4 linked regions of the Oreochromis niloticus genome follow. The main gene of each other region encodes a partner of the protein of the gene in region 2 in a complex. Links are inferred from orthologs where the notes say so. Each region holds a gene or a part of one and is shown on either strand. Other genes may lie near its edges.

Region 1 (7,905 bases), on a different chromosome or scaffold from region 2:
TTGCTCACGACATTATTTTTAGATCCTATGCTTACCAAGAGGTATATCGATGGCACCAACTACAGCCCCCAAAGTGTTCTGAACAGCCTCTCCAACCTTCCTCGCTATCAGAGTGCCTCCCTCCTCCTCCAACGCAGCGTCCAGCAACTCTACAACATGCACACATCAAATCATATCATGTTGTGAACACTAAAACCATCTGAACCAGCCCGGCAAACAATACCCCACTCTTAAATTCCCACAGAGAGACTCATTTGTGTACCAGTTGGAATTCCTCTGTTGTGGAAACACGCGTCGCAGACCCTAACAGGCGCAAGACCCCAGCCCCTCTCAGGGACCGGCCGGGTTTTGGAGGAGCAGGCGTCACAGAAGCCCTCTCCACAGGCACGGCAGTGGTGCTTGGTGTCGTTGGGCTGGAACTCCTCCCCACATTTATGACATTTCTACGGCACAATAATAAGTAATGCGATTTATCAGCATAACAGTAACATAACAGGAACACTGCAGCATGTCAAATGTCAACCTACATTGTCTTGATGGGCTATCACCAAGAAAATGTTTTACTTACACAAGTGATGTTTCATTTACAACTACACATTCTGGGCCTGTGATTCCTTATATATAGTTAGCTAAATATTGGTTGCATACCAGGATGAGGGAATTGGGTTTCCAGTAGGCAGGAGCAATCTGGTCAGTAAGCCAGGAAGTGACCGCTTTGGCAGGCTTGACGCTGAGTTCAGACACAGACTGAGAAATGTATTTGACTCCGTCCAACAACCTCTGAGCAGCGTTGTTGTTGTCTTTCAAAAAGCCATCTGACTGCATAGAACAGTGTAAAAACACATAATTACAGTACGCCATAGAAGTTGTGTTTATACAAGCGTCCCTCACAATTATCACTAAATACTGACAACAGTGCTGACAGAAATACAATGCCTGCCTTACCAGCTGGCGTTTGCACTGCTATATTCAGACTTGTGACTAATTATGCTTAGATCAACATGTTCCAGGAGAACATGCTGCGTTACTTTTCTGGATATCTACATACAGTATAAGCCACTCGCCTCATAGTGGCCAAATTCATATGACTCAAAGCAAACAAAAAGTGAGCTTTTAGATTCCAATGGTATAAGTGAATTCAGCGTGGCCTTACCCCAGGCCAGATGTGCTGGATTTCTGTTCTGACCACTGTTTCCACTGGGTCCTGGTTTCCATACCAGTACTGCCTGCTTCTGTAGATCACTGAACAGTTGGGACACTCAATGACATACCTGTAAAAAGACAAAACCATCTCAGTTTCAGCACAGGGAGGAAAGATTCCAGAGGTGCCATACACTTTTTATATCAACTGTGCTCAATTGTTCTTAAAACTTTAAAGGCACGTATGAGGATATTTATGAAAAATCATTCTATACTCGCAGGACTCACCCTGACCAAGCGTAGATGGCCAAGCCAAACCACGGTGAGTCAGACGAGGCCGTCGTTTTGGGAACCACTATGACTTCCTTTCCCCTTTCGTAGCAGGCCTGAGAAGTTCAGCACAGTTGCTCAAAACCTTGTCAAGCAGGTATACTTCAAACGTGGCGTAGATGTATGTTTGTACTTGCCTTGCATGTGTAGATGCGGTTGTCGTACTGTGCAGAGTACCGGCAGCGATGTTTGGCTTCATGGTCAAGACCTTCCTTTAGGTGATTCATGCTCCTCTTACAGCCTGACCTGAAAGTTGGTGCCCAGCAAGTCAGCAAGTTTTACAAATAAGTAAAAGTAAAAGGTACTGGCAGTGATGATGCTGTAGAAATCTGACTTAAAGTATTTTTGATATTTTTTTTAGCAAAGCAGGGACACTTACCCACAACTGAGGCAGATGCTGGAACAGGTAAAGTATTCATCTGGAAAGAAGGAGTTACTGTTCATATGTTCATCTGGAATCTCCCCACTGAAGCGCTCACTCAGGGCCTGAAAGAAGGCCCCAGGTGGAGATGGGAAAGGTATAAACACATTTGCACTCGCTATGCCAAAACATACTTTGTTAAATGTAAGCACAGCTACCTGCAGGGCCTTGAAGATGACACTGGCAGATCGTGGTGAGCGTGTCGTATTGTTGTCCAGCTGCTGCTCCAGGCTGCGGAGCAAACCACTGAAGTCCGTGGGAGGGTTGTAGGTTCGAGTCCCACGGTACTGGATGGAGCTGAATGCTTCCGGAAATAAGCCCAGCTTCCTGAAACGCTCCTGGAGAAGGCGCTCAGCAGATTCTGAGGGCGTGTCTAAATTTGGAGTACACATACAGATGGAGACAAAGGAATGAGGCGGTGGTTTGTGTGCTTATCTTTGAAAAACACTGAGATGAGACAGACTTCTTTGATGTACCTGATCCTAGAAGCTTGGTGTGGACAGTCTCGTGGAAGATGATCACCGCGGGGCCCAGGGTGGACAACGGTACATCAAGACCACAGCGAGTGGTAGTTGCCTTTAATTCTCTAGTGAAATGTTTCAGGTAGGCATCTGATGCATCACCAAGGAACTTGAAGAGATCGTCATGGAGACGGTCAGCATGTGTCCGGTAGATTACCACATCAGAGATAGCCAGGACCTTGAGCAGCAGCCGAGTTCTCTGACCCTGATTAGCCCCTGATCAAAAAAAAAAGAAAAAAAGAATCATGAATGGGTGCCTGCTTCTACCCCCATTTGTTTCATAATATTAAATAAATCAATAATTTCATACCAGCTCCAAGCAGTCCCTCTGTATCGATGACTACAACCCGATGCAGAGGGTCCATAGCTGCCCAAACACCCACAGTGCAGGACTCCTGAGTGGGAGACGTCTTGAACACTTCTCTCCCAAGAAAGAACGTATGGTTCAGGGTGTAGGATTTTCCCTCACCAGTGTTCCCAAAAATGGAGACCACCTTGAGGAGCTCATCTGAACTACAACCCAGTCTGCTGACAAAGTCCTTCTCATCCTTCACCTGAGAATGCAGATAAGATCAGCTCAATCGTTGTAACGCATCATTAATAAAACACCATCAAACGCTGGGTACCTCAACAAGTGCTTACCTGCATTTCCTCCTTCTCATCCACTAGCAGAAAGCTGCACACCTTCTCCAGTTTGGATTTGAGGATTTCCATGTCACTCTCCCCAGCACTGACACTGTTCTCTTGAGGAGCTTTGGCAGGTGGGTAAGGTACCAGAGGGTGCTTTCTCTTGTTGACTCCCCCATGGGTGCGTTTTTGGCAATCCAAACACAGGTTGATCTTACAGCCCTGGCAGCGGACCACCGCTCTGAGTCTGCCAGAGCAGCTGCCATCCCCTTTGCAGGAGTCACAGAAAGGAACGTGGCCCGGGGCGACCCGAACCCGGTCGTGATTCCTCATGCGCTCCTGCCGATGTAGCTCCAGTTCACAGCGAGCACACTGCAAGCTGCCACACTCATCGCATTCAAACACAGCCTCGTCCGAGCCCCCACAGGCATAGCTCTCCTGACAGACCAGGATGGTGTTCATTCCTTTGTTTACAGCTGGACCTTGACCACTCATCTCAAACCTGTGAGGACAGGAAACCCCTGGTGTGAAAACAAGTATGAAGGATTACTGTGGGTAATTGGGACGGCAAAAGCACTGCAGAAGAGGGCGCAAGGTTATGGAACCGTTTTGTGAATCTATATAACCAGATGTCAGATAACCTGTTTTGTTGAAATACTGAAAAAAAACAAAAAACAAATTCACTCATGAGCAGTACTGTCAACAAAACGATAGCAACCTATGCCCCTTTTCTCTCTCCTTACTTTTTAATGGGGATATTCAGTTTATTGAAACAGCAAAATTAAACACACAAAACTCGGACTAGTTTGTTTACCTTTTGCCACAACAGCTCTGTAGCTAACAATAGCTGTCCGGCATCTGTTTTCTTGTTCTGGTAACGCTAACTTTCTACATGAGAGTATCCCACACTGTTTGATACATTAAAATGCCTAAAAACAGGCCTTGAAACTCAGTAGTAAAGAGTCATTAGCTAACAGCATTCACACAAAGAGACACTCCTGAAACAAACAACCTTCTTTTGAGTCGACTGACCTAACAGTTGCTACCAGTCCGACGGCTGACTCGTTAAATAACCTGCTGGCTCGACACAGTCTAAAAGTGGACACGTACACTACCTAACACCATACCGCCGAATGCCACGGAGAGCTGACGCTGGAGGGGGGGCAAAGTTAGCTAGCTGTTATTGTGTCAGACCCCTGTAGATGTTGCTGCTTTTACATCAGCTGATCGGCTTGTTTTTATCCAGAGGTCAAAAGTCACGGAAACACAAAGCATTTTGGGAAACGAAGGACTTACAAGTGACATGGAAAAGCGCTCGCTAAAGACGAGCTGTTTGTAACCTGTTTATGGCACATACACCAACGTATACCCCGCATTTGACATTTACAGACTGTTTGACGAAAGCTGTGGACCAGCTTGAGTAAACGACGCGGAGATATCGACGAAAAATCAATCGTTGCCCATAATGCTTTGCTTTTTCCAGCGGCTATAGGGTCTGCTTTTATTCAATACCAGCGTGTGCCGTAGGCACAAGCTGAGACGGAGACAGAAGCTGAAGCTGACACTTATCTCGTTGATATCAAACGAAGAATATAAATGTCAAACTTACAAGTTGTTCTATGCATTAAAGTACATTTAGTTGTTTTATGAACTAGTTTTTCCGCGGTCTTTTGCTCTTGTGTGCGCGAGAGCCCCCTCACCCTTTCTGGACACCCCGGTGTAAAAAACAGTGCAGCCACATGAGTGGGGATGGATTGTGGCACACGACAGTTGTAGTTGACTCTTTAATTCAGCTCTTTAGCTATTTTTTTCCTTTTAATTCAATTAAAGCATAGTACTTTAAGCAGTTTTCTTTTTTCGTCATCATTATAAATTTATCACCGCCTGTCTTAATGTGCTGCTGACTCTGTCTATTCGCAGTTAACAACTAATGCTAGCTCGGTGCTAACTTAACAGGATAACCGTGTTGACAACATACACCGGTCATCACTCGTCTTTTATGCTCATTCACCTCTTTTTGTTGTTCAGTCATCATGGAAGACGAAGCCTTCACTGACATTAGCGGTAAACCAATCTCTCTGGACTGTCAGAGTCACTCCAGCTTTTGCAGGGAGTTCATTATCAGCTCCCCAAAAGTGTCCATGGGCAAAGTGATGGTATACACCTGCTCCGTGTGGCTTCTGGCGTATGCAGTGTTCTTCTTCACCCAGGTAAGATGATGAAGGCGAGACCAAAGTGATGCAGATTTACTGTCAAATCCTTCTCACTGTGGGGTTGAGATGCAAAGTTTCTGAGGACAGCGAGACAGTGGTGACGTGTGCGGTGGGAGCCGCAGATGGCTTCAAGGTGGGGTGGGATTGCATCAGGGATCTGCTCTGAGCCCCTTCTTGTTTGACCGCGGTCTTGTTTGCGATGATGACGGTCAGGCAAGAGTGTCCATAGACTGATGTTTACAGAGACACGGTGATATTTCCAAGCTTGACTACCATGACCTGGATGCATCCATCAATCAATCCATTCATTCGCTTCCACTTTTCCAATTCAGTGCCGCAGGGGGTGCTGGATAGGTCCGCAGTCTGTCGTAGGGCTACCACAGACAGATAGACAGACAACCATTCGCTCTCATATTCACACCTCTGAGCAATTTAGAATCACCAATTAATCTAACCCAACTAATTGCATGTTTTTGGACTGTGGGAGGAAGCCTGAGTACCCGGAGAGGACCCGCGCTGATATGAGAGAACATTCATACTCCACACAGTAAGGCCCCCTCCAGATGGAGGGTGGTGGAATTAACCACCACCACCACTAGGTAGATATATATCGGATAAAGGATGTTGAATATGGAGCTGGCAGGCACGAGGAAATGAGGAAGACCATAGAGAAGATTAATGGATTTACATGAAGAGGATTGGTGTGACAGAGGCAGGACAGGGTGAGATGGAGATCGATGATCTGCTATGGTGATCCCTAAACGGAGCAGCAAAAAGAAGACATAATACAGTTAGAAAAGTTCTGTCTTTCTTTCTTTCTTTCTTTCTTTCTTAAAAATACTTGTTGTAAAATTGAAACACCACTTCCCACCACGAGGGGGCAGTATTTTAAAAGAAAGTCTCAATCTAGTCGCCCGGTCTAAGATCCAGATGGTGCACTTTTTAAGTTAGCGCAGTAATTTTACAGCATTTTTTTTAAGGCTCTGGGTTCTTTCTGTTCAAAGCCGTGCTTGTTACGTGAGCGTCCAGTGTAATCATTTATTCCACTTTTCCAGTGTTGAAAAGATAGTTGGATGTTTACTGTTGTTTTGTTTCATATCATTTCTGTTCTTTCCAACTGAGCGTGGTTTCTTTCCGGGAGTGGGTGATAAAAGTCACTTTTCAGGTGCATCGGCCATTGTTTGCTGATCCATTCACTAGGATATCTCTCTATCAGCATTTCCTCTTCCTCTCCTGTTGGAATCGGGACTGGATGCCACACCATTAGTGTGCTGCAAATTGGCATCATGCAAATGTGCGCTCAAAGTTTTGTTTAGCTCTTCAACTCAGTATGTAGATGTTCTGTATATAATGTCATTCTGTTGATAGCATTAGGTACTTTTGGATGGTTGTATACTATTTTAACTTACAATGATTATTTTTAATGTAATACTTTTCCTCTCTTGCAGAACACTGCCGTTCTGTCCGGCGCTATTCTTGTCACCCTTGTTGGCATGATGCTTCACATCCACTTTGTGAAGGTAGACCATGAGTCCCTTCTTGTCATTGGCTCCTTAGGCATCCAGGTGTCCTCCAGCTATGCCTCGGGCCGCGAGATAACCACTTTCATTGAGATGAGCAAGATCAAGGATATAGTCATCAATGAAGCTATTTACATGGTGCGTTGTTGAACCTGTGCCTCTGTACTTGACATTTTCTCATACAGTTATTCTACAGTTTGCCATGAAAGATTTGATTAATGTCTAATGCTTTTATTTCAGCATCAGATCATCTACTACCTCTGTGTACTGTTGAAGGACCCCTCAGAGCCCGATGCAGTGTCAAGTGTTGTGCCATTGTTTCAGGTGAGGATGAGCATATCTCAAGAGCCTGTTTAGTTACTTGATTACCTGCAGGGCTGTTGATGTGGTGTCATTCATAGGAACCTGTTTTTAATTAACTCTATTTTTTTCCCTTTAGAGTTCAAAGCCAAGGCTGAACTGCTTGGTGAAAGTCTATAAAAGCTGTCAGGAGATTCTTTCAAAGTGCCAATGAAGCGCATGTCATACAGGAACACCTGAGGTCATTCACCATGTTTTTCTTTTAGCCTCTTCCTTGTTTGTGTTGATACGTCTTAGGTGTATTTTATATACATTGCATTTCTTAATGTTTTGCTTTAAAGGATAATGGTGTCATAATGTTGTACTGTGTTACATGATTAATTTAAAATAAATAAAACACTGGTCTTGACTACTTGTTTAAACCTAAAAAGCCAAATTCTTTAACTTGCAATGTAACTTGTAATGTAAGATCATAAAAATAATATTTAACCTTATAGTTTTTTTTATATGCTTAGAATTCCACAAATTATACAAGTTTGTGTATTTTGGCACCATTAGCACACTCTTTTGTGTATTTGTTTTTGTCCCCCCCCAAAATTCATAGAATATAACAAACCAATATTCATTAATTACATAGATATTGGTAGTATTTGCTCATCTTTAAAAGTTTCTGTTTAGTTGTTTAGTTTTACCAGTAGGGGGCAGCACTACTCACAAACATTTGGGTCCATGCATCAGTTTTTACAAGTGATTCAAATGTACACCATGTCCTGTTCTTTGTTGGCTCATTGTTTAATTTCCATGAATTGCTTTTGAATGTAATCTCTGTGATA
Region 2 (7,549 bases):
TTTTAATAACATCATGTGACCAATAACATGGCTGCTGTGAGGCGACTGTACTAACAGACTGTCCAAGAAATCTGAGCCACAGTTTTGTGAGTGAAATTCTAGGATTTTAATAGTTAATAGCTAATTATTTATATAGCATGGTAGCTAGCTAGCATTAGCTGATACCTTAGCACTCCACCTTCTCTCTTCTAGCCTCAAAAAAACCAAACGGGGTGATCGACACGCTCAGAATGAGGCTTCAGAGCCCAAATAAGAAACAAGTGATATAGCAGCAGTTATTTCCATCTTTTACTTACAGTCTCTGATTAGGAGTCACCACCTTTCAGAAATTGAACCTTCTCATAAATGCTGAACGTTTATGTTTCCAGGCTCTCCTGTCAGATTTTCCCAGTTCAGACGGCAAACTGGGAACCTTCAGGAGGAACCTCCGCGCCAGCAGGGGACAGTGCTGGGATGACAACTGGGACCAGAACGTCCTTCCTCTAATCACTGCTCCGAGATAACTTTGGCTGTATTTAGAGAGCTAGACAGTGCTGCTGTTTTAAAACCATTTCTTTTATTCATGAAAGTCTCGCTTTCTAAGCCCTACTGGGCACGTGCAGTAGACATCACCATGGAAACAAGCCTTTTTTTCCTCGTATGCCGGGTGAGCACTTTTCATGGAATAAAGTAGGCCCAGCCTTTGAGTCCAGTATCCAGTGAATGCCTGGATGATATGAGCTCCAGTTACAGCAGAGTGAGAGCGCAAAGGACCAAAACTGTTTGCTTGGGTGTTTTATGATAAATGTACATTTAAAATTTAAATGGATCAGCGGGTGAAAAGACCGAAGTCTTCTGAGGTCTTCTTTTTATTCCTGACGTTTTTCCTTCTTCACTTGAATGTACAAAGGAAGTTGTCATGACGATGGAGATGTACATTTGTAAATAAAATCTTTATCATGCTCCCCCCGTGTCATCTGCACAGTTTGATGAGCTCTATAGCCGACTGTCTGTTATAAGGAAACACATGGTTGACAGGTCCTGGGATCACTTCATGGCCGACTCCTTCAGTTTCTGCCAAAACAAACAAACAAATAATGACTTTATTCAAGATGCTTTATACAAACCAAGGTCCTGCACTCTGTATAAAATCATCTTCATAGTTCCCCAAGCACGCCTCAAAAACAACTATTATTATTTATTCCCACTGTAACCAGGAAGTATCCAGGATCAAATCTGGCCAGATTTCTCTCTGCAGGCTCGTTTTGTCCACACTGGAACGTCTGAGTGTTTACTGTGAGCTGTCCCAGTTTCTTTTTGCTTCATTTTCTTTCATGAATTGTGGACACTGTGCACAGCTGGTTAAAGAACTACTTACTACAGCAAACCACAGTATTTTTCCCCGTGTGATGTTTACTGTTCATTTCAGGCAGCAAACACGTTTTTGTGTGTGACGCTGATGAAACTCCGCCGCCAGACTCGAGCGTGAGGTCGATAACGTGACGTTAGCATGAGCCAAAGAGGCACAGCAGAACGTTAGGTTTAAGTAAACCAGACTCTGATCAGCTTTAAGTCTGAATTAATCTGAACTATCTTCAGCACAGCCTCCTCCTCCTCAGCGTTGTCTTACCAAGCTGCTGTTTGAAGCCGCCGTACGTCTCCAGGTTCCTTATCGTGGAGCAGACGAAGACCTGAGGGAGAACCTCAGCAGACGAACACCTCATGACAATGGACAGCAGCTTCGCCAGACTTCCTGCAATGTCAGGGTCGTACACCACGTCTGCACCACGACAAACAAACAACAGGAATCTGAGAAAGCAGAGTGTCAAGAGCTCCATAAAAGCTGGAACAGACTGAGGTGTGTGAATGTGTGTCCACGCCATCTCGCTCCATAAATCTGACCTGCGGCGATGATGATGTCAGCCCCAATCTCCCTCAGCTCTTCCTCTGAGGTTGCCGTCCAGTCCAGCTTCTCCACGCTGACCGCTGGGGTCGTCTGCTCGCTCAGCCCGTTCAGCTGGACGTTGTCTCTGAGTTTCTGCAGCACTCTGCAGTGACAGTCACTGAAGATGAATCGCTTTGGGCTGCACGACCGACAGACGGCGATACCCGTCAACCCCGCGCCGCTGCCCAGCTCCAGCACCGTCCTGAAGGAGGAGGAGAAAATTTAAAAGCTGCAGAGGCTCCACCTGGAGGGCGACAACCTGCAGATCCTTCAGCTTACCTGCCAGCAAAGACCTGCTGGTTCTCCAGAGCCCACTCCGCCAGGTAAAGAGCCGCCTCCCACGTCACCAGCCCGGTGGTCCCCTCTGAGATCAGAGCAATGTTCTCCATCAAGCTCACAGCGCCACCAGCAGGCTGCGGGACACAAACATGGCTGCACTTCAAATTAAGACTCCAGCAAGCAACAGCTGGCAAAAGTAGGGCCGGGCGATTCAGACCAAAAATTAGATCTTGATATTTTTATGGCACAAAACAAATAATTTGATATAAAGGTGACAGTGACGCTGAGGGTTTTCCTGTGTGCAGTACCAGCAGGTAGCTCTTGTAGCACTCCGTGGTCTCCTCAGTGCCCACCACCTCAGCCAGAGCATCATACAGCTCATCCAGAGGTTCACAGCCTGAAGCTTCCAGCTGTGGAGGAAGAAACCAGGAAGCACACAGCCGGGTTTTACTCTGTGATCGAGTATTTCAACATCTTTCTGTCCAGAGGGAAAAAAACTCAACTAATAATCTGAGAGTTAACCTCTCCTTACCCGTCTGATGAGCTCGGAGAGAAACAGCCTCCTGTATCTGACTGAAGGTGCAAACTTCCGGCACAGGGGATGAAGACACGTCTGTAAAAACACGTGACTGTTCATTACACTAACGAAGCTGAGCTGTTTTAGGATTACAGCACGATGGAGGAACACTCACCTGTTTCAGCACCTGTGAAATGAGCTCTGATGACCCGCTGCTCTGAAGGTCTTTTTCTACAAACTGTAAGCAGATAAAAGTTATACAGAGGACATTACAGAGGTTTAAGTCACATTTTAAGTTCAATTCAAGTCATTCACATAGAGCCAAATCACAAAACACACGCCTCAAGGAGCTTAATATTATAAGGCAGACCCTACAATAACCCCAACAATCAGACGACCCCCATGAGCAAGCACTGGGCGACAGTGGAAAGGAAAAAATGTCCTTTAAAGGGAAGAAATCTCCGGCAGAACCAGGCTCAGCCGAATTATTCAGGGGGGTCCCCTGACTGATTTCATTGCTTTACTCGTGTTTTACAGGCAGCGGGTTTGTGGCCAGCTTTGGTGCTCTAATGCGCAGATTTCTGAATGAAGTTCGGCCAGTCTCATACTCACAGTCCAGGGAAACGAAGGCAGCCGACTCATAGCGAAAAACGACACCTGGAACTCCTTTAAAACCTCTCTAACTGAACCCTGCACTGAGGACTGCTCTGAAAGCGCCATCTTACACGTGTATTTGTTTACTTCCTATTTACCCATAATCCTGCGCGACCGTCTCTCGCTAGAGCCTCTGGGTAGTGAAGTTTATCTGTAGGTTTGAGCATAGTCTACCTTTTTTAAAGCTACAGAGAGCTAAGTGCATGTGTGTAAAACATACATGACATATTACACACTTCTTTTAAATTATTGTATATTTTTATTAGTGAACATTTTTTTATTTAAATGTAATGTTTTGTATTAATTGGAACTTACCTTCATTTTGAACCAGAGTGTGTGTTTTTTCTGGGGCTTTTCTTAACCTTTTTATACAGTTTCTGTTGCTCTCTGTGTGTTTTCCTTTTCCTTTTAGTTTGGAGGGTCTTTGGACATCATCACCATCAGAGATGCTGGAGTGCTCTGATTATGGTCTCATCATATTTTAGCTAAAAGGTTCAGGATTCAAGTCCAGCAAATGTGTTTTTCTACTTTTAAGGTCAAAATTAAAGGTTGCCATTCCTGTGGCTCTCCTCTGTATCATGAGATCAAACCTCCAGACAACCCACTTCTCCCGCAGGTAATCTTGTGCTTTAAAGATCTTCTGTGTAAGAGTTTTCTGAATTAAAATCATGTATACTTTTGTTTTAAGGAGGTTTTGTCTGTTTTGTTCGTATGCATGTTTTGTAACCTCAGAGTAAATTTCTGATCCATCAGAGCTGCTGGAGAGCTCAGCTGGTTCTGTCTGTCAGTGGATTTTAACACTGAGGCTCAAGGTTCAAGTCCAGCTGCAGTTCTTATTGAATTGAATCTTTCCTTTATGCCAGCTTCAGCAGCTCGGTGAGATGAATAAAAGGTCATTTTCATTTAGGAACCTGTGATATCTGCTGATATCTGAGAAGCTTTCAGTCAGATCTGCTGCTGTGGCCTTGAATCTTCCCGCTCTTTTCTTGCTGTGTCACTGCAGCCGCAGATAAAATCTCTTCAGTTGGACCAACTGTGCATTCACAGCAGCAGCTCCAGCACACTGAGCATTTACTGGTGAGTATGAGCTGATTATTTTTAAACATCAGTTTGATCATTTCACTTGGTTTTCTTAACAGAAAAAAAGAATCTAAGAGAAACTAACGATTTTGATTATTTGTGGATTTTTTTGAATCTCACTGTTGGGTCTATACAAGTTTTCCTTCCAAGCAAATTATAAATGTTGTTATAATATTATAATACATTATTATTATTTTAAAAAAGAATACATGAAGACAATGAATATAGAATGCTTTTCATAGAGGAAATAACCGTATAAATTAATTTTAAAAGGATTAGCAGAAACACGAATTACTGTTTTCAAAATCAGAGGAGCGTCTTGTGACCAATGCTGAGGCCTGTTAACGTGGTAAAATGTAATTTTAAAGCATACATTATAAATTCAGCGTAAACTGGAATTATTAGTAGGAAGAACTACATGTTGACTTTAACTGATTATTTTATTGTTCTGTGATGTTTTGGTTTGAAAGGTTTTCCCTGATGGATCAATACCTTCATTCAGACATTACAATTCAGAAAATCCAGATCAAACTATTATCAGCATAACAAGAAAACAACAAGAAATGTAAACTAATAGAGTGACTTTTCAAAATAACATTAACAATTCCCTTTCAAATTAATGCAAGACCACTGTTTAAGGAAGTTGTTAAAATATAAATTTAAAATATGAATTAAAAAAAACTTTGAAATATGTGAGACTTTTAATTGTTTCGAAAATTGAAATCTAATCGCAGTAAGAGGAACACAGCACAGTCATTAACGCGTGTTTCTCTCCGGAGCGTTTTATCGCACGGACTGTCAACAACTAAGATGGCTCCGGCGGCTCGTACGTAGCTGCAGAGGGAAGGTGAACTCTTGTTTTCGTGTTAAAGAAGGTAAAGGGTGCATTTTTAACACTCATGTCTCGTCTCCGCGGTGATGTTAGCCAGTTTGATGTTTCCGCTGTTTCTTCGAGCTTCAGTTCATTGATTTTAAAACACTTTTAACGAAAAATAATGAAAAATGCGAAGAACTTTGAGGTGGTTGTCAGTTTGGGGACACAATAAAGCAGCAGTGTGGGGTGTCACTCTTCTCTTTGACGTGTTGGGTAATTTCTTTATGCTCCCGCGGTTACTCTATATAACACTGCAGATAAAACTGCAGCTGACCGGCTTCGTGGTCTCGGAAATCAATGGCATTCCTGCCCCGGGGCTTCCTGTGGTGCTCCAATCTGATTTCTGATTGAAGGGCAAAAAACGAGGACAGCCGTCTCTAACCCTGTTCCGTTCTGTCGCCAAACTTCATTAAAAAATGGAAAATTGAGTGGTTTTCCTGCGGTAGCGCTTATACTGGAAAAGCAGGGATATTTTTCATTAAGAAAAACAACCTCTTTGTCTCCTCGGCAGGTATTTCGTGCTTGATTACTGTTTCTCTTGTGTATATACACACATGCAGACTGTTTCGCACACATGGATTAGACCTGTTCCTAAATGAAGAGAAGTATTCCGTGAAGGTGTCCCACTGAAAACAGGTCCAGGCTTAATCCATGTTTTTTAAAAGCTTTTTCCTCGATGCTTTACTTTTACCGCCATCTTTGATGTTGTAAAATGTTCACATAAATTGTATTTCAGAATTCTTTGATTTCCAAGTTTGACTTTTGTAATATATCTGCTGCTGGCAGTGAGTTTTCCAGTGTTAGACGAGTGTCTCAAACTGAGGTGTGGACACCAATGAGGGACCTGCACGCACTAATCAGCACGCGTATCTGTGATGAAGGATTTCTCCGTCAGGGCGGTAACTGTAAACTTGTAACTGAAGTTAAAGTTTACCTCTGCTTGTTTTATTTCCCTCAGATCATTAGAGCTGCTGGACTCTGAGCCACAGTGCAGTCATGGTGCTGAAGATTTTCTTCCCACAGTGCTGTAACCGGGCGGAGAGCGGGCTGCTGGTGGGCCGCTGGATCTCTGGTCATGACTCAGCCGTGGTGCTGGCGGTCATTCACTACCCCTTCATACCCGGGCAGGTCAAACAGTACATCCAGCAGGTTGGTGATTATAAAGAGGGAGCTGAGTCTTTGTAGGGCACTAGTTGTCCAGTAGGTGTCACCTTTGTGTTTCGAATGAAACACAATGCAGAGGAAAACTTTTAGTTGGATTGCAGATGATCAGATTAATCCATTCAGCAACGTGAGCCAGACTTCAGTCCCTCATCCTTCCTCTGTGTTCGTCTCTAAGATGCAGGCCCAGAGCGGGGTGGAGCTGACGGTACTCGGCTCCTGGAGTTTACCTAAAGAGGGTCAGGAGAGCATGGAGAGCTTCCTCAGGGACCTCAGCACCATCTTCCCCCAGCAGCGCTGGCTCCAAGTCAGTCGCCAAATGGGAAAGATGGGCTTCATCTGTGAGGTCGTCAACCGGAACCAAAGTAAGATCCTCAGACTGGAATCTGCTTCCTCCTTGGATTTTTCTTTTCCACATTTTTTTTATTTTGGACTGTGCTAGAGTAGCTTTGCATGATTCTCAGCTCAAAATAATCCTCATTTATCTTAAACAGGGCATCGGTACAGCTTAGCAATTCATCCTGTCTGAACTAAGCGGCTTTAGCTCCTCCCATTCTTTTAAGCCTGAAATGATAGTTCTCCTTTTTCACAGCTGTCTTTCATTTATTTATTTATCTCATTTATTTATCTAAGAGTTTGTCTCTGTTTTTAATTTTTTTTTTTTTTTTTTTTAAATAAAATGTCCTTTATTTAATTTGAAAGTTGCATTTCCTGTGCTCTGATTTTAATAACTTTCAGATGGGCAAGAAACTCAGCAGGAAGCAAAAAAGCAAAATGAGGAGGAGGAGGAGAAGGTGATCTTTGTCCACTATGAGCAGAGGAAGGTGATGCTGTCGCAGCTCCACCCCACTGAGAGCGGAGATCCTGACCCCAACACCGAGCCGTCGTCTGAGCTGAAACAGGTAGAGAGGAGAAAAAAGCTGTGATGTGTCCATGTTGGTGCAAAGCTCTCAAATCAGCTCCACCAACATGCGTCCAATCCCTGATGTGGGCAGCTGGTGATCTCTCACATGCTGCTGCTCTTCCTGTTGCAGGTGTTCCAGACGGTGGCACGCAGCCA
Region 3 (7,795 bases), on a different chromosome or scaffold from region 2:
ATCTTAAGGATAAAGGTCACTCTTTCGAGGATGCCAATGTTCACATATTGGACAGAGAGGACAGATGGTTTGAAAGAGGAGTGAAAGAGGCCATCTATGTCCACTGTGAGCGACCATCTTTGAACAGAGGCGGTGGTTTACGACACCAACTGTCTGCCATCTATAATCCAGTTTTGAGTTCCCTCCCCAGACGCCTTAACGCCCACTCACATCCTGGGCCATCTGACCTCAGGAAATCACATGATAGGGTGGGGCCAGGTTTCACAATGAGCTCACCCGAAACCCTGGCTGATTAGGTCCCACAGCCGCTTTCACACCTTGGCTCATGTGATTAGAGGATCACCAGGGGGTCCTTTGTCCCTCTTTGGGGGGATACTCCCACTGGGTTTAAATCTGGGACTCTCGGCCATTTGACCTTAGAACTGAAGAAGCTTCTCGGATGAGAGGTGAAACGTCTTCAAGCAACTTAAAGAAGTCCAGACGCTTTTCTTTGCAAATTCCTTTGACTACAACAAAGTATTTGACTCTGTGTTGTTAAGGATTGTAATTTATGAAATCATAGAATTATTTACTTCATGTGTTTATGAAAACTCATATGTTATTTGTTTACAGATTCAGTGTGATAACTGCAACTGCTGGTTCCATTCTGAATGCCTGGACATGACAAATGAACAGCTCAGCAGCGCTCAGAAGACAGAGTGGAAGTGTGTGCTTTGCAGTGTTGAGCAAGTTACTTTGAAATAGTAATTCAATTATAGTTACTAGTTACTTCTTCAAAAAAGTAACTGAGTTAGTAACTCAGTTACAATATTCTAAAAGTAATTAATTACTTGGAAAAGTAACTATTGCGTTACTTTTAAAAAAAACAAAGAACGTTTAACCCTCTGGCGTCCAGAGTATAATTGGCCATTTTTTTACTACTCTTGATTTTCCCTCCACATTTTACCTTTAAAAACTATTTACTTTGCCTTGTTTGGTATCATTCTTTTTAGCGCAACCTCACGTGCCTGAATTTACAGTTATGTTCTCATTTTGTCATACTGTATAACCAGAATTGATCTAAAATCAGACAAAAAACATATTAATTGTCAATTTTAAAATCCTATGCACAAGTTCTGCAAACAACAAAGTTATTTGCATCCATTTACCTTTTACACTTTTTTTAAATAACCATTTCAAACTATTTACAGAACAATCAGCTGTTCTGCATTCAATAAGATGCCACACAAATTATTTGTGCCACTCCAAAAAAATAATTTCTGTCCACTATAAAGGAAAACATCACAGCCTGATACCTGCAGGTCTGAAAGCAGCAGGTGTATCACTCCTGTTTCTACCTGGAGACAGCAGTCGCCTCATTGTTCTGACACACAACACAAAACTATCCACAACACTACACACTAACTACACAAGACAACACATTAACTACACACTACAAACACGCTAAACGTCACAAATCTCTCACATCTCAAAACTCGCTCTCTCTCTTTTCCTGCTCTCTCCCTCTCTCTCTCTCTCCGTCACTCCTAAAACTTTTTTTTTTGTTTTTTTTGCTCATAAGCAGAGAGTGCTTGCTAGCGCTAACGTGGTGAAACTATTGAGGAAAAAACGCCACGTATATCTTGTTTATCACGACTCTAGTTTTACGTGGCCTATCGACACAATTTAAAAACTGGTATATATCACCTTGTTGCTTTGTCTTTAAGTGGTCATGTGATTGGCTTACCACGACTACTTTATTCTTCCTCAGTCAAACAGCAGCACTCATGCGATTGTTTTGCCCCCTGAGCTCCAGGTGTTGTGCTGGACAGTGCTCGTGATTACCGTCCGCGGGAGCGCGCAGCTGCTTAAAGCTGTAGCGTCCAGAAGATGCGGTAAGCTGAACACAGCTTCAACCGTCTGTTTGTTGAAAAATAGTAACGGACCGCGTTTCCTTGTTAGTAACTGTAACGCCGTTGTAACGATAGGAATAGTAATTAGTTAGATTACTCGTTACTGAAAAAAGTAACGCCGTTAGTAACGCCGTTAGTAACGCCGTTACTTGTAACGCCGTTATTCCCATCACTGGTGCTTTGTGTAACCTAATTCCACATGCAGTGAAAGCTACTAGAATAATCTGCTTATAGTTATTATTGGTGTTTTGAGGAACACATGTGTAAAACACAATATGTATAACATTCTTGCTTTGAGCACGTATTTTAAGTATTTCCTTTTTGATTTTTTGGGTTGATTTGTGTGATGACAGATAATGAATAACAATATATCAAAACTGTATAATAGTAATCTGAGAAATCTGTAATATGAGAAATGTAATTTCTCACCCCAACCGGTCACAGCAGATGGCCCCGCCCCTCCCTGAGCCTGGTTCTGCTGGAGGTTTCTTCCTGTTAAAAGGGAGTTTTTCCTTCCCACTGTCGCCAAAGTGCTTGTTCATAGGGAGTCGTATGATTGTTGGGTGTTTCTCTGTATGTGTTATTGTAAGGTTTAACTTATTATGTAAAGTGCCTTGAGGTGACTATTGTTGTGATTAAGCGCTGAATAAATAATGTCTAAAACTAAAGTTGCTACTTGAGGTGGTGTGTGAATGATGTTTTGAAAATTTAAATTTTGTGTGGAAAGAAATTTCTTGTAGTTAAGTAAATACTTGAATGAACTCATTTTCTTCAGTAATAGATTAGGATTTAATTTAATCAGAAAACAGTACAGTAATTTGGGTAAAGTTCACTATTGATTTACTGGAAAACCGTACAGTAAATTTGGCTGTGGATGACAGGGTGAAGAGTGGGGGTCACCCACAGTCAGAATCCAGTGAAATATCTGCGTCACCTCTTACAGTTTTCCTGTAATCTGAGGTCAAAGTTGAAGATATTAAAAGTACAGTACTGTATATTGGGTAAATGTTATTGTTAATTTTCGCTGAATCGTACAGTAATTTTGGCTGTGGATCGTGGGGTGAAAAGTGGAGATGAACCAAAACTGGGAGTGGATATTGAAGTAAAATAGTGTCAGGACACAAAAGACTGCGTTTCTTAGCCGGTCTTCATCCGTACCGTAATATACGTAAGAGTAGTGCAACCACATTTTAGGTGCGGCTGGCGGGGCGGCTAGCTTGACTGTGACTTCGTAAGTGAGGGCTCACTTGACCGCAGTCTGTTATGTTTACATTATGGCGACAAACGCCCTTTCGCATTTAACCTTAACAAGCATCAAGCTGACCGCTTTCACAGTCCAAACTGCCTTACCGTGGGTGGAAAGTCAGTCTTTTTCCAGATGTGATTTCATTTCTACATGCTAGCCTCGAGCTAGCCACTTGGCCGCTTGTGTTACTTCTTGGTGTTTTCTACGTCACTTGAAACGTTGTAACTGGCATATGGTTTAACGGTGTGTACCGCCAGATCTTTATAGATGTGTGGTATCTATCTCTAATTGAGCCTCAGAGATTGAGAGCAGAGGCTTGAGCAATTTGCTGGTCTGGAGCATTCAGGTGTGCTAAGACACACACCTGAAGAAACCACAAGACTTCTGGAGGGATGTCCTTTGTACAGATAAGACCATAGTGAGTACCGTGATGGAGGGGTAATTATTTTGGCTTGCTTTGCACCCACAGAACCTGGGTATCTTGCAGTGATTCAACCGTGAACTCCTCTGTATACAAAATGATTCTAGAGTCAAATGTGAGGCCATCTGTCTGATAGATAAAGGTTGGTGGACACAAAATCATGCAACACAACAATGATACCAAACACAAGAGCAAATCTAGTAATGAGTGGCTTAAAAAGAAAAGAATAAATATGTTGTAATGGCTCAGTCGAAAGTTCAGCCCTCATCTCGACTCACTGGCTGTGGCAGAACCTCAAAAAGAGTCACACATGAATGAATGGAAACAGACGGTCAAATATTTCTCTACAGTGATGTGAAAGACTGATAAAGCCACAATAGTAAAACTGGCTATACGATCTTTTGAATCATACTGTGTACTTGATTTAATACACATGCTTTTGTATTTGGCTTATTTTTTAATCCCAAAAAAATGACACGATGTAATATCTGAGGTTTTATTTACTTCATTTTTAAATTATGTCCTGATGTGACTGTGTGTCACATGTCACATTAGTTACAGCAGACATCTACTGCATGTTGTTACTTTGTCACAACAAAAACATTTTTTGTTGATACTGCAGTTTTGCATGCAGGACTTTTATGCGATGGAGTACTCTGAAAGTGTGCTACACTTGACCAAAAAAAAACAACAACAACACAAAAACAGGATCTGTGTTCTTCTTGAAGCATGTGGTGTGCTTGTGTTCATGGTTCATTAAAGAGAAATGAAATATCTGAAAAGGAAATAAAAGTTACCCATCATGCAGTTTAAAAAAAAAAACTTTATTGCTGAACAAAATGTTTGTTTTACTCTTTTTTAAAAATATACTTTTCTTTTTGGTGCTGAAAAAGGGCCACACATTTACATTTCATTACACTTCTCCATTTGTCAAATTTTGACGTACTGTCCAGACTGCAGTCACAGATTCAAGGCTGATGACCTAATTCCCAAAAAGGGACCAGAGCTGCACGGCTATGTAGTACAGTGATGTTTCACAGTTAAGCAACATCATTTAAAAATTTCTTACTTGGCTCCTGAGTGTTTTTTCCTATTAACTATACATTATACGCATTACCCTAAACCTACTTATTTATAAAAGTTAAAAAAAAAATAAAAACAAAAAACAAAGCCTGGCATCTGGTATATATAGCTCAGACTTTACTCTTCCCAAGGAAATCTGATGAATGGCATACAGAGAATAGTCTCCTCCTTTAGCTTCCAAAGTAGATGTAGTTTCCATGAGCAGGAACAAAAGATGAAAACTAGATTTTGCAAACAGCCAGTATTGCATCAGCAGTGATTAATCACCTCCTTTGGCTCAGAATAAAGTACTTTCATATCCTCACTTTGAGGCTCGTCTGAGTTTGTGTTTGTCTGAGAAGTCACCATTTTACACATTTCCCTCACCGGGAAACCCTTAGCAATGAGAAAATGAAAGATTAAATTATTGGAGAGACACTGTAACAAAGCCAAATATCAACAAACACTATCAAAACTGTTAGTGGCTGATAAAAAGCTGCAGAAAGAGCAACAGAGTCACTCTGGTTTAACCAGTAATGCAGTAAATGTAGCATAACAAAACTCACTGTGAGACGTTCCACGACGGTACCAAATCAGCAAAAATCCAAGCGCCAAAACAACAGGGACCCCTTTAAATAATATCCTGAAAAGGGGGTCCAGGCTGGTTAATGAATATGGATCATTTCCTGGAAAAAGAAAAAAAATACAATAATTGATATTATGAAATGTTCCACAGTTACATGTATCATGAATATTACCGTCTTTGCATTTAATGTCACAGCACTTTTATTGTGGTAGAAGTACCAGGCAACCCCTAAGATCAATCTTTGCTGAAATAACAATTTAAAATGAATAATTACCAGATGGGCATGTGACATTGACTTCACATTTAGGCTCTGAGGTGAAGTTGCTTTCAGTCTCGAGTCTACTGTGAAAATAGTGGACGCCAGTTTCTTCATCCAGGTTGTATGTGGGGGAGATGTTAGTCGTGGCTGAATTTGACAGACACGTTCCATCCAAAGTCCACTGAATGTTAGGTTCTTTGTAGCAGTCAAGCTTTACAACACATTGGTAAACATCTCCACCATTTGGGTGAGTCTCCCTGTGCTGAACAATATGTGTCCCTGGTGAGAGATGATTTTTGTTAAAATTATGAAATTTCATGAGTATTCAAAAATTGCTGGTAATCACAATGTACAACTTACCACAAAGCGTGAGATTCACAAAGAAAACTGTGTATTGTGGAGAATAAAAACGACAACTGTATTTTCCCTGGTCTTCTTTTGTGATGTTTTTTAAGAGAACAGAACAATTACTGCTGTCGTTATGAAAAAATGTTTCATATCGGTGGGACGGGTTGTCTTTAAAATCTAAGGTCCCATCATTATATCTGAAGATCAATTTTGGTTCCACCCCTCTCTTCCTATCTTCTTCCACTTGCCACTTGAACTCCTTATTGAAATTTCTGTTAGGGCAATTGCATGGCAGGAGCACATCGTCTTTCTCAAAGCCTTTAACAGTGATGCCTTCACCTGCGACAGACAAGATGACCAATTATAGGTCCAGGTATCAGAGTCTATCAAAATATACATTTTATTCAACTCATAATGTAGATTTATTTGTTTAATTAAATGTTACTTGTCTAAAGTAAATGTCACGAACTAGGGAAACATAAAACTTGCTGCTTCACTAAAGTTAAATAAATCCGACATTTTTCCATTCAGATTCTTAGTTTGAAGCACAACTGCTGTTAGAGTCACTTTCAGACCAAAGTACACAGACTTTCTCCTCCCAGTGACTCCTCACGGTGTATAATATTAGAACTAAACTGGATAAATATGTTGGAGGTGGTGTGAATGTCCAGTGAATGTTAGGCTCTTTGTAGCTGTCAAGCTTTACAACACATTGGTAAATGTTTCCACCATTTGGAAGAGTCTCCCTGTGCTGAAAAATATGTGACCCTGGTGAGAGATGATTTTTGTTAAAATAATGAAATTTCATGAGTATTAAAAGATTGTTGGTATCCACGATGGATGACTTACCCAAAACCACAAGATTCACAAAAAAAAATCTGTATTGTGGAGAATAAAAACGACAACTGTATTTTCCCTGGTCTTCTTTTGTGATGTTTTTTAATAGAACAGAACAATTACTGCTGTCGTTATGAAAAAATGTTTCATATCGGTGGGACGGGTTTCCTTTAAAATATAAGGTCCCATTATAATAGCTGAAGATCAATTTTGTCTCCACCCCTCTCTTCTCATCTTCTTCCACTTGCCACTTGAATACCTTATTCAAATCTCTATTAGAGCAATCACATGGCAGGAGCACATCGCCTTTCTCAAAGCCTTTGACAGTGACAGGAATGCCTTTACCTGCAACAGAAAAGATGACCAATCATAAGTTCAGTATTAAATTGCATTAAATTATTAAAAATAAACTTGACAAAATAGGAAAACACAGAACTTGCTGCTTCACAAAAGTTCAATAATCACAGAGAAACTGAGAAACAACTTGTGGGCTTTACAGTTCTGCTGTGAGTGATTTTCAGATCGAAATATTTCTCATGCATCACAAAAGCTTTGCATCAAAGAACAGGGCAAACATCAGAATGCTGATATGGTTGTTTCTCTTCATTATAGCCACCAGATTCTCCTTTAAAGGCTTACAGACACAAAGTCACTCATTCACATTCACACATGTGTTTCTACATTTTAAAACTAATGTACAAAAACATATGAAGCCTTGAGAAAGACAAGGTAAAGGTACATTATGTTTGTGCCTTAGTTTACAGTGCATATATCTTATGTTATTTGACTTTGACCTTTGGCTGTACTTGAGTGTATTTATATATTTTTAAATTTAAGAAAATGGGTTTTTTTAAATAAAAATTTTAACATGGCAGATAAATACAAAGGGCTTTGTTTTCTTTTTCCTTTTTTGACAGATACAACAAAAAGAAATTAGCAATTTCCAAAATAGAAACCAATGAGCAGTTCGTTTTGAAAGTCCTGCATTTTTTTGTCTTTTGACTATTAATAAGACAAGACAAAAATAAGAAAATAATAATTGATAGCTGCATCCCTAAAAGAAAGACATCAAAAGAAGCGGGTTTTATTTTGATGGGCACATCATTGTGGCCAGTCACATGCAATGAAAGACTGGGCTTATACC
Region 4 (7,684 bases), on a different chromosome or scaffold from region 2:
ATACTCTTCTTATTGCCACAAACATTTGTTGTTACAATTCAGCCACATGTTCCCCTTCATGCCAATACTGAAAATACAGGGCTGCACTGCAGTGCTGCTCTTTGGCACCCAAAAGACTGCAAGAGAAGGAAACGGGCATCTCCAAATCTCTTTATAACTACTGCCCTACTCTTCTCTGCCGTGATTTGTGGACTTGTGGCTTGAATGGCTGCCAGCCAGCCAGCGCTGCCGCTGTGAAGCCTGTCTGCTGCTGCTGGGTGTCTGCTTACAGCCACCTACTGTGTGAAGATGTTGAGCCTGCCCGTCTCTCCTGTGACAGAAGTCTATTTCTATCTGAGTGACATCTGGAAGGTCATTGCCACTACTTCAATGCACTGGTTGGTTTAATATGCACAAGCCATCCTCTACCTTGTGTTTTTTTTTTTTTCTTTTTTTTTTTTCTTCAACATACTTTTCCAGGTCCTTGCACTGTCTCAGATGAACCACATTTTGGCAAACACAAATGGGTCCACAGTCTACACGGGTGGAATAACACCAGTTTGTTACCTGTTACTTGTATTGTATTAATCTGCTACTGCGGTTGTAGTTTGTATTGATGTTTATTCATCTCTAATGTGGAACCCTGGCTGCTCACTGCCTTGGCTCGATGCTTCATGTTGCAGTCTTCTGATTTTTGCCAAGTGCTGTAAGGTGAAGATCATACAGTGAGTTTATGCCTTTGTGATTTACACTATCTTTTGTTAGAAGTGAATAAAACCAAACTGAGTAGACCAATTGGTTTACAGTTATGACATTTTGCCACACGGTATGTGCATATGTCAAACACAAATTCTTTGGATGCCTATAATAATATTGGATGTCTGGTTGTGAGAAATGGTCATCATCTGCCTCAGTTTCAGTGCTTTTCCCTATTCTCATGTATGGTTGCTGTCACTGGTATTTACGTACTGTATGTCTGGATTCTAATAAGTGACGTATTGGTAATAAAAATATTTTTTGATCAATTTTTAACATGCTTTCAGAATTCTACAGAAACAAAAGAACAACATTTTTTAAGCATTTCTATGTTACCGAGTAATAAAAGTTTGTGTCTACAGCTTCATTGTCTTTGAGAAATGTTTTCTTCCATAAAGCAGCAGTGGCAGAAGAGGGAAAGTGGCATCATATTTATTTAGCTAATGTCCTGCAGTTGTAAATGTCTGCAAATTAAACAGCTTTACCTTTTTTCTGACCTCTGCATTCTGTTGTGTGATATTTCATCCCAAAGAGTGATACTGTGATTCAAATGTGGATTAAAAACAGAAATTATCTTTGTAATCGATGCAAAGCCATCATATTCGATGCTCAAAGTGAGAATTTTTAATTTTTTTGGTTAACATATGCTAATGACAGTAACATCTTTCAAAAAAGGTGAGACAAGGGCAACATCAGGTGAAATGTTCCCACAGCTAATTAGGTTTATTAGTAATAGGGATGGGTATTTGGGAAAAAAAAAAAAGAAAAAAAAGAGCATCCCCTAGAGAAGTGTTGAGTGTTTCAATAGGCTTAGGAATACTTTGCAAACTACAGCATGCAACCATGCAAGGTGTGCTGCCTCTCTTGGCCCAGGACATTTCAGCAAAAGGGATTTAAAAACGCAAGACTTCCTGGCTAAATGATAACTGAGCTGTTGTCAAATCATTCAAAATTTTATTTGATCTTTTTCTTGGATGGTGTATTCTCCAGGCTAAAAAATACCATCTGGCTTGATCTCACTGTACTGTTAAAAATACCAGCATCTGTGACAGTATATAGGGGCGGTCATGCATACAGCAAGGCCAACTTGTGCATCTGCTAAACAGATTTTGGTATACAACAAATGCTGCCATCTAGATGATGTCTGTTTCAGAGAATGCTTCCTTGGGTCAGTAAGACAATGCAAACCATGTTCTGGCTGTATTATAGTAGCTACATGGCAACCAGCAGTCCAGACCAGTCACCAAAAAAAGAAAAATACAAATTTACAACAGTTTCAACAGTCTCACTTGGAGCATTTGATATGTTGTAAATATCATCTTTTTCCAAAGCATCCAAACCTTTTTTTGGAAACAGCTTTATGAATAGACCTTCTTTTACAATCATTTCCATATGTTTCTGCATACAGTAACAAACCTGGTTTTACTGTATATGAGTGGGGTGTATAAACCAGTTATAAAGATGCCTGTAAAATACCTAGGGTATCTGTAAGCATAATTTACCCTGTCGTGAAGCTGCTTGCTTTTCTGACATGTCCTTCGTGGTGCGGTGGTGCAGAGATGTGATGATCAGACATTTTTGTAGCGTAGTAACACAGGCCCTTCCAAAGTACAGTGGATGCAACATGGTGGGAAGAAGCAGAATGGAAATGTTAATGCAACTTACTTGCTTTAGTCAACACACAAAATATCATGTTTCATGATACTTACGGGCCTATCACACCCTGTATGCAAGACCCTGTACTCCTGGGAACACCATTATGAAATGATTTCCTCTGTAAAGTCAAATATAGAACAGATGTGGCAAAGATTAAATCATAAAGTAATAATACAAGAACAGCTACAGTCATTAGAAAAAGATGACATGAATTTATTGGAAAGTGGAAGAGTAGAGAATGTAGAAACCTTGTTGGGAATTAGGTGTTCTTTTCCAAGGTTTCTTTGTGTTGGCAGAATTTACCGTGTTGGTCGGCGTTTGTGGCTCCTTGACCCCGAGCTGGAGCTGACATGACTGCTGGCTGCCTGAGCTGTTGTCAGGGAGACATGAGGCTGTGGTCTACACTTTGAGAAGCTGTTATTATCACGATACAGACGAGCGTATTGATTAATATCACAATCAACAAGACAAACAATTTTAAAATTGTTTGTCTTTTCATTAGATAGTCTTTTCAGTAGATAGCACAATAATTGTCATTATTGTGCTATCTACTGTACAATATAAAGCGCCTTGAGGCGACTTTTGTTGTGATTTGGCGCTATATAAATAAAATTGAATTGAATTGAATTGAATAAAATTGACATCAACTATTTCCACTCTAAGAATATTTTCCTAGAACTTTAAAATGCCTGATTACCTTTTTGAAGCCACTTCGGTCTGTGGGTTTGGTCTTATAACTTCAGCACAGAATGGGCTACGTATGGTCAGCACAGGCAACTTGCAAAAGAAAAGATTTACTGTCATAAAGTGGACGGTCAGCGCCAATGTGCTTTTCAAACAAAGCATGGCTATTCAAAGATACCAAAGTTGACTTTTGAATCCTGACATATAAAAAAAATCAAAATCAAGGGGCATACCCGTTCAGACTGGTGAATGCAGATGAAATTCACACACACACACACACACACACACACACACACACACACACACACACACACATATGTATACATATATATATATATATATATATATGTATATCTATCTATCTATCTATCTATCTATCTATATATATATCTATATATATATATACAGGTCTAAAATATAAGAGCATAGGCCTGTGGCATGCTAACCACAGAATATTGTATCAGATCGTAAGATTCCCTGCAAAGATGCAGTCACATTCATGAAGAGAGCAAGAGAAAGAAACCCAGATTTCATATATGAACATTTATCATACTGTATATAATAGGCAATTCTAATGATATTAGTACCAGTACACGTGGGAGTAGAAGGAAACATTTAGTATGCAGACTTTCATGATGCCAATCTGGTATAAACAATTTTGTTAAAGAACTGAGTCAGGATATGTGGGGAAAGGTGGAAGAGGAGTTCTTATTTCCCAGAAATAAGTAGAAAGAGTAATCCCCGGTTGTGGGATGAGCTAAGTCTCCACATTACTAGCTCGCTCCCAAATATGTTCAGTGTCCATATCCAAATATCCAAGTAATAACTAGAAACATGGAAGCTCAGAGACAACCACTGAAGCAAATACTCGCTTCAGAGGTTGATTAAATACCTGAGAGCAGAGTTAAATAAACTGTATTTATTCTTTACACCTTGCTTAATTATAATATGTATTCTTTTTTTCTTCATTTAGGTGGAGCTATCATATTATTATTATTATTATTATCATTATCATTATCATTATTACATATTATATCGTACAAAATATATAATAAGATGTTAATAGTCTTGGACTGTATTAATGACATGTAAAAATGTCAAGAAGAGCCTGACCAGCAGACAGTAGAGGGCAGCAGCACGCTAGTGTAGCTACCTCAGAGAGCGCCAGAAGAAGAAGAACAGGGGGCGCTGCAGCTAAATCGCTTTACTTCCGGGATACTGTCAGGATGAGATTGTAGCGTCGGCGCTGAATAAAATCACATTCCAGGTAGGTGTAAAACACCTAAGAAATATTTTTGTAGGTATTTCAGTCAACTCTCAGCACATTATTGTTTTTACACTCGTGCGTACCGGAGATGCGCGGGCTTATTGTCCCTTTTTAAACCGGAAGAAGCAGTAGTTTTATAATAGACAGACTCAGAGATTATATCCATTCACTTGACAGCAAAGAAAACGCTTTAAATGTTGTTCAGATCCAACATTTGTTTGGCTAACAGAGCTGTGGGTGAACTACCTAAAAACAACATAATATTATATCAGCTTTAGAGCTTTTGAAGTCTTTTTATGAACCCAGAAAAGGACCCTGGTTGGCCTGCTACTTTAAGCCTTGACTGTAAGGCTTAATATGTTTAGTAAAATAATGATAAATTCCCCTAGCCACTTTGAGTCAAGTCATGTCACAAAACAGTAGTAACTTTAACCAAAGGGCTTTCCAGTCGTGTAATATTCAGAAATATAATGTGTTTATAATGGGACATTACTGGGTAAGCAGTGCAAAAGACTACGAGGAAACCACAAATAATGAAAACCACATAACGAAGATTGCAGGTACGACAGATCATTTAAGTAGTGGATGAAACGCCCCTACTGGTCTCAACCTCCCCACCGTCTGTGTTTTGCGTGTTGAAATCAGGGTGATGGGGCCAGATGGTGCCCCAGGTCCAGCTGTGCCATGGCGTAAGGTGCTGTGGGAACGCCAGCCTTTTCCAGATAACTACGTAGACCAGCGGTTCTTGGAGGAGTTACGCAGGAACGAGGGCATCCGGCAGTACCGCTACTGGGCTGTAGTGAAGGAAGCCGGATTTGTAGGACAGCAGCTGTCTTGTGTGGCCATTTTTATCACCCTCTGGCTCTACATGGAGCAGGTACTGCTTTGGGTTTTTTTCCCCCCCAATCTTTGAAGGACAAAGTGTCTTTACCAAATGGAGCGGGTTATTAAAGAGCTCTGCTTTCTTCACAGAGTCTGCTGCCGCCTGAGACGTTGCTGTGGTCCAGCCTCATCTGTGCCCTACTGGGTTATGGACTTCATCAAGCCTTGACATCTCGCGTTGAATCATGTGGTGAACCCCGCACTCATCTGGCTGATTTACAGAGTGCAGCCATTTTCCTTTCCTTCACCTTTGGCTTCTCGCCAGTTCTTAAGACACTAACAGAGTCTGTGAGTACAGACACTGTGTACGCCATGTCTGCTTTGATGCTGCTGGCCCATTTGGTGTCGTTTCCTTACGCCCAGCCATCGCCTCCTGGAAGCCTCTCTTTAAATGCAGCTCTGTTTGCCTCAGTGTGCTTAGCCTCTAGGTTACCCGGAGCTCTGCACACTTTCGCCATGCTAAGCTGCGCCCTGCTGGTGTTTGCTCTGTGGCCCTGCCTGCTGCAGACGCTGAGGGAGAACGCCCCTGTCCATTTTACTGGGGTGTGCATGGGAGTTTGCATTGGAGGAATAGTAGGTCTCGGGTCTCAGACGCTGGGTGGAGCTGTGCTCTTAACCCTGGCTTTAGCAAGTGTAACACTGCTCTGTCCTTTCCTGCTTGTCAGGCTGCAGAGGCACAAGGACAACATTCATGGACCCTGGGATGAGGCTGAGATTCGTGAGGACCTGAGCCGCTTCCTTCACTAATAAGCAGCCTAGCACAAGCAGCTCCTAAACAAACTGATATTAAAGGTGTAACTGAATTTTATATGAACCAATTCACTGTCATAGTGCTGGTTTCTTGGTGCTCTGTGCATGTAAAAGGACTAATTTTAACTGTTTTTTTTGTTTTGTTTTGTTTTTATCACTGGTTCATGTATGATTGGAAAGCAATGTCAAACTATTACTCTCTTCCAGGTAGTATGAGGATGGTTTTTAATGTTTAAGCTGCTACGGTTTTGTAATTTACCTCAGAGTTTGTGCGAAAGGTCTCAACTAATAGTATGACTTGTTACAGGATGTTAATGGTTTTCAAATCTCTGTAAAGAAAATGAAATGGCATTGACCTGAATATAAACAAGGGCTGTAATTCCATTTTCCTCAAATTATTTGTAAATATTAGAAGACTTTTAGGATTTCATTGTCTATTTTGGTAATGAGAGTATTTCTTCAGTGTTATTTAATACAATACTACAAGAAGCTGTTTTTACCTGCTCCACACTACAAGCTAAATATAAGACATAGCCTCAGTTTTTAGAGTTACCATGACCCTTGTTCACAAGTCGTCAGCACAGCAGGTTGCTCCTAGTGTTTGATTTGGCAGATTTTTACACCAGGTGTCATTCTTGATTTAAAAGCCCTGGAAGGGATTTGTCTCCTTCCAGGGTTAAACTGGGTTGCGTTCACTTCAACTACTACATAGTGGAGCTACACACCCCATATAATGATAACTTCATGAATCTTGTAAAATATGGTACTTTTTTGGGGGTCATGTTTCAGTTGTTATCAAACTTTCTGTCCTTTACTATTAAGGTGTTTGTAATAAAAAAAAACAAACGACAACAACACACAAAGGGACAATATGTTGTAACATTGTCGCTGTGTTGTGAATTTAAATATGGCCCTAAATATGAAATGTGTCATCAGCACTGAGGTAAGAAAATGTAGACGTTTTCTACAATGAAAAAGATTAAGGTCTTTCATGTCGCCTTCCGTTCAAATCCCAGTCAGTGACGTCACATCCGATGAGCAACACCTGTTGACCAGGTGTTTTCGGTCGACAGAGAGCAGCATGACGGGAGTTTGCCTCCCTAATTTAGTCAAATTTCCATTTGAAAACAACTTTATCCTGATGACCTCCCAGTTTGCTCAGCACACAGTGTGAAACAGACCGGAGTTTCTCTGTTTATTTTTTAATTTTTGTCTCAGATTAAAGAACAACTACATGGCGAAACATTGTCTCCTCTTGCTTCTTGCTTTAAGTGCAACATATAAAAAACAAAAATTTGCTCTCGAAACTACACCAGAACTACTGCTATATGCTGTTTAGGAGCCTCTGTGTTAGCAGCTAATGACCAAATAAGTGAGCTATGACGGTATCAGCGGGCACTAGTGCAGCCGACCTGGCAACAATGCGCAGTGGTCGCTAGGTGTCATACCTTCACTTCTCCTTTCTTCGTCCTGGTGGGACGTTTGACGGCGGGCTTTGCAGCTGGTTTTGACTGCAGTGTTGGCTCCATAAGTCTGAACAGCACAGCAGGTAAGATGTTCAGCCAAGCTGCCTGTAGCTGTGCGGCCTCCTTCGAAGAACCACAGCAGAGTGTGCCGTGGTAACAATGCGTCACAGGTTAAAATGTTTTTGTTTAGTTTTTTTTTTTCCTTTGTCTTCCAGTCGGAGTTTATTTACACACCAGTAAGAAA

The links.
Region 1: pigq (region 2) and pigh share a complex: the UniProt entries of both Homo sapiens proteins name them as parts of the glycosylphosphatidylinositol-N-acetylglucosaminyltransferase (GPI-GnT) complex. The link is inferred for Oreochromis niloticus from reciprocal best matches to the Homo sapiens genes PIGQ and PIGH.
Region 3: pigq (region 2) and piga share a complex: the UniProt entries of both Homo sapiens proteins name them as parts of the glycosylphosphatidylinositol-N-acetylglucosaminyltransferase (GPI-GnT) complex. The link is inferred for Oreochromis niloticus from reciprocal best matches to the Homo sapiens genes PIGQ and PIGA.
Region 4: pigq (region 2) and pigc share a complex: the UniProt entries of both Homo sapiens proteins name them as parts of the glycosylphosphatidylinositol-N-acetylglucosaminyltransferase (GPI-GnT) complex. The link is inferred for Oreochromis niloticus from reciprocal best matches to the Homo sapiens genes PIGQ and PIGC.

Annotation. Positions count from the first base shown.
Region 1 is NC_031980.2:5,869,769-5,877,673, reverse strand, and holds the start of pigh (phosphatidylinositol N-acetylglucosaminyltransferase subunit H), read left to right. Parts: upstream 1-4,756; 5' UTR 4,757-5,072; coding exon 5,073-5,249; intron 5,250-6,700; coding exon 6,701-6,910; intron 6,911-7,012; coding exon 7,013-7,096; intron 7,097-7,211; coding exon 7,212-7,286; 3' UTR 7,287-7,905. Other genes in the region: zfyve1 (zinc finger FYVE domain-containing protein 1), read right to left, coding at 36-149, 263-443, 649-819, 1,154-1,271, 1,429-1,526, 1,608-1,716, 1,850-1,956, 2,050-2,264 and 4 more. UniProt on the Homo sapiens protein: Part of the glycosylphosphatidylinositol-N-acetylglucosaminyltransferase (GPI-GnT) complex that catalyzes the transfer of N-acetylglucosamine from UDP-N-acetylglucosamine to phosphatidylinositol and participates in the first step of GPI biosynthesis.
Region 2 is NC_031969.2:32,539,446-32,546,994, forward strand, and holds the start of pigq (phosphatidylinositol N-acetylglucosaminyltransferase subunit Q), read left to right. Parts: upstream 1-4,371; 5' UTR 4,372-4,451; intron 4,452-5,200; exon of another isoform or gene 5,201-5,329; intron 5,330-6,286; 5' UTR 6,287-6,324; coding exon 6,325-6,477; intron 6,478-6,667; coding exon 6,668-6,854; intron 6,855-7,227; coding exon 7,228-7,391; intron 7,392-7,523; coding exon 7,524-7,549. Other genes in the region: alg1 (chitobiosyldiphosphodolichol beta-mannosyltransferase), read left to right, coding at 369-503; protein-lysine N-methyltransferase EEF2KMT, read right to left, coding at 953-1,053, 1,610-1,759, 1,882-2,126, 2,204-2,337, 2,512-2,613, 2,736-2,816, 2,896-2,958, 3,333-3,440. UniProt on the Homo sapiens protein: Part of the glycosylphosphatidylinositol-N-acetylglucosaminyltransferase (GPI-GnT) complex that catalyzes the transfer of N-acetylglucosamine from UDP-N-acetylglucosamine to phosphatidylinositol and participates in the first step of GPI biosynthesis.
Region 3 is NC_031987.2:20,520,434-20,528,228, reverse strand, and holds the start of piga (phosphatidylinositol N-acetylglucosaminyltransferase subunit A), read right to left. Parts: upstream 3,341-7,795; 5' UTR 3,243-3,340; intron 1-3,242. Other genes in the region: uncharacterized protein LOC102076210, read right to left, coding at 6,491-6,622. UniProt on the Homo sapiens protein: Catalytic subunit of the glycosylphosphatidylinositol-N-acetylglucosaminyltransferase (GPI-GnT) complex that catalyzes the transfer of N-acetylglucosamine from UDP-N-acetylglucosamine to phosphatidylinositol and participates in the first step of GPI biosynthesis.
Region 4 is NC_031986.2:38,718,937-38,726,620, forward strand, and holds pigc (phosphatidylinositol N-acetylglucosaminyltransferase subunit C), read left to right. Parts: upstream 1-4,187; 5' UTR 4,188-4,342; intron 4,343-4,987; 5' UTR 4,988-4,991; coding exon 4,992-5,219; intron 5,220-5,314; coding exon 5,315-5,971; 3' UTR 5,972-7,217; downstream 7,218-7,684. UniProt on the Homo sapiens protein: Part of the glycosylphosphatidylinositol-N-acetylglucosaminyltransferase (GPI-GnT) complex that catalyzes the transfer of N-acetylglucosamine from UDP-N-acetylglucosamine to phosphatidylinositol and participates in the first step of GPI biosynthesis.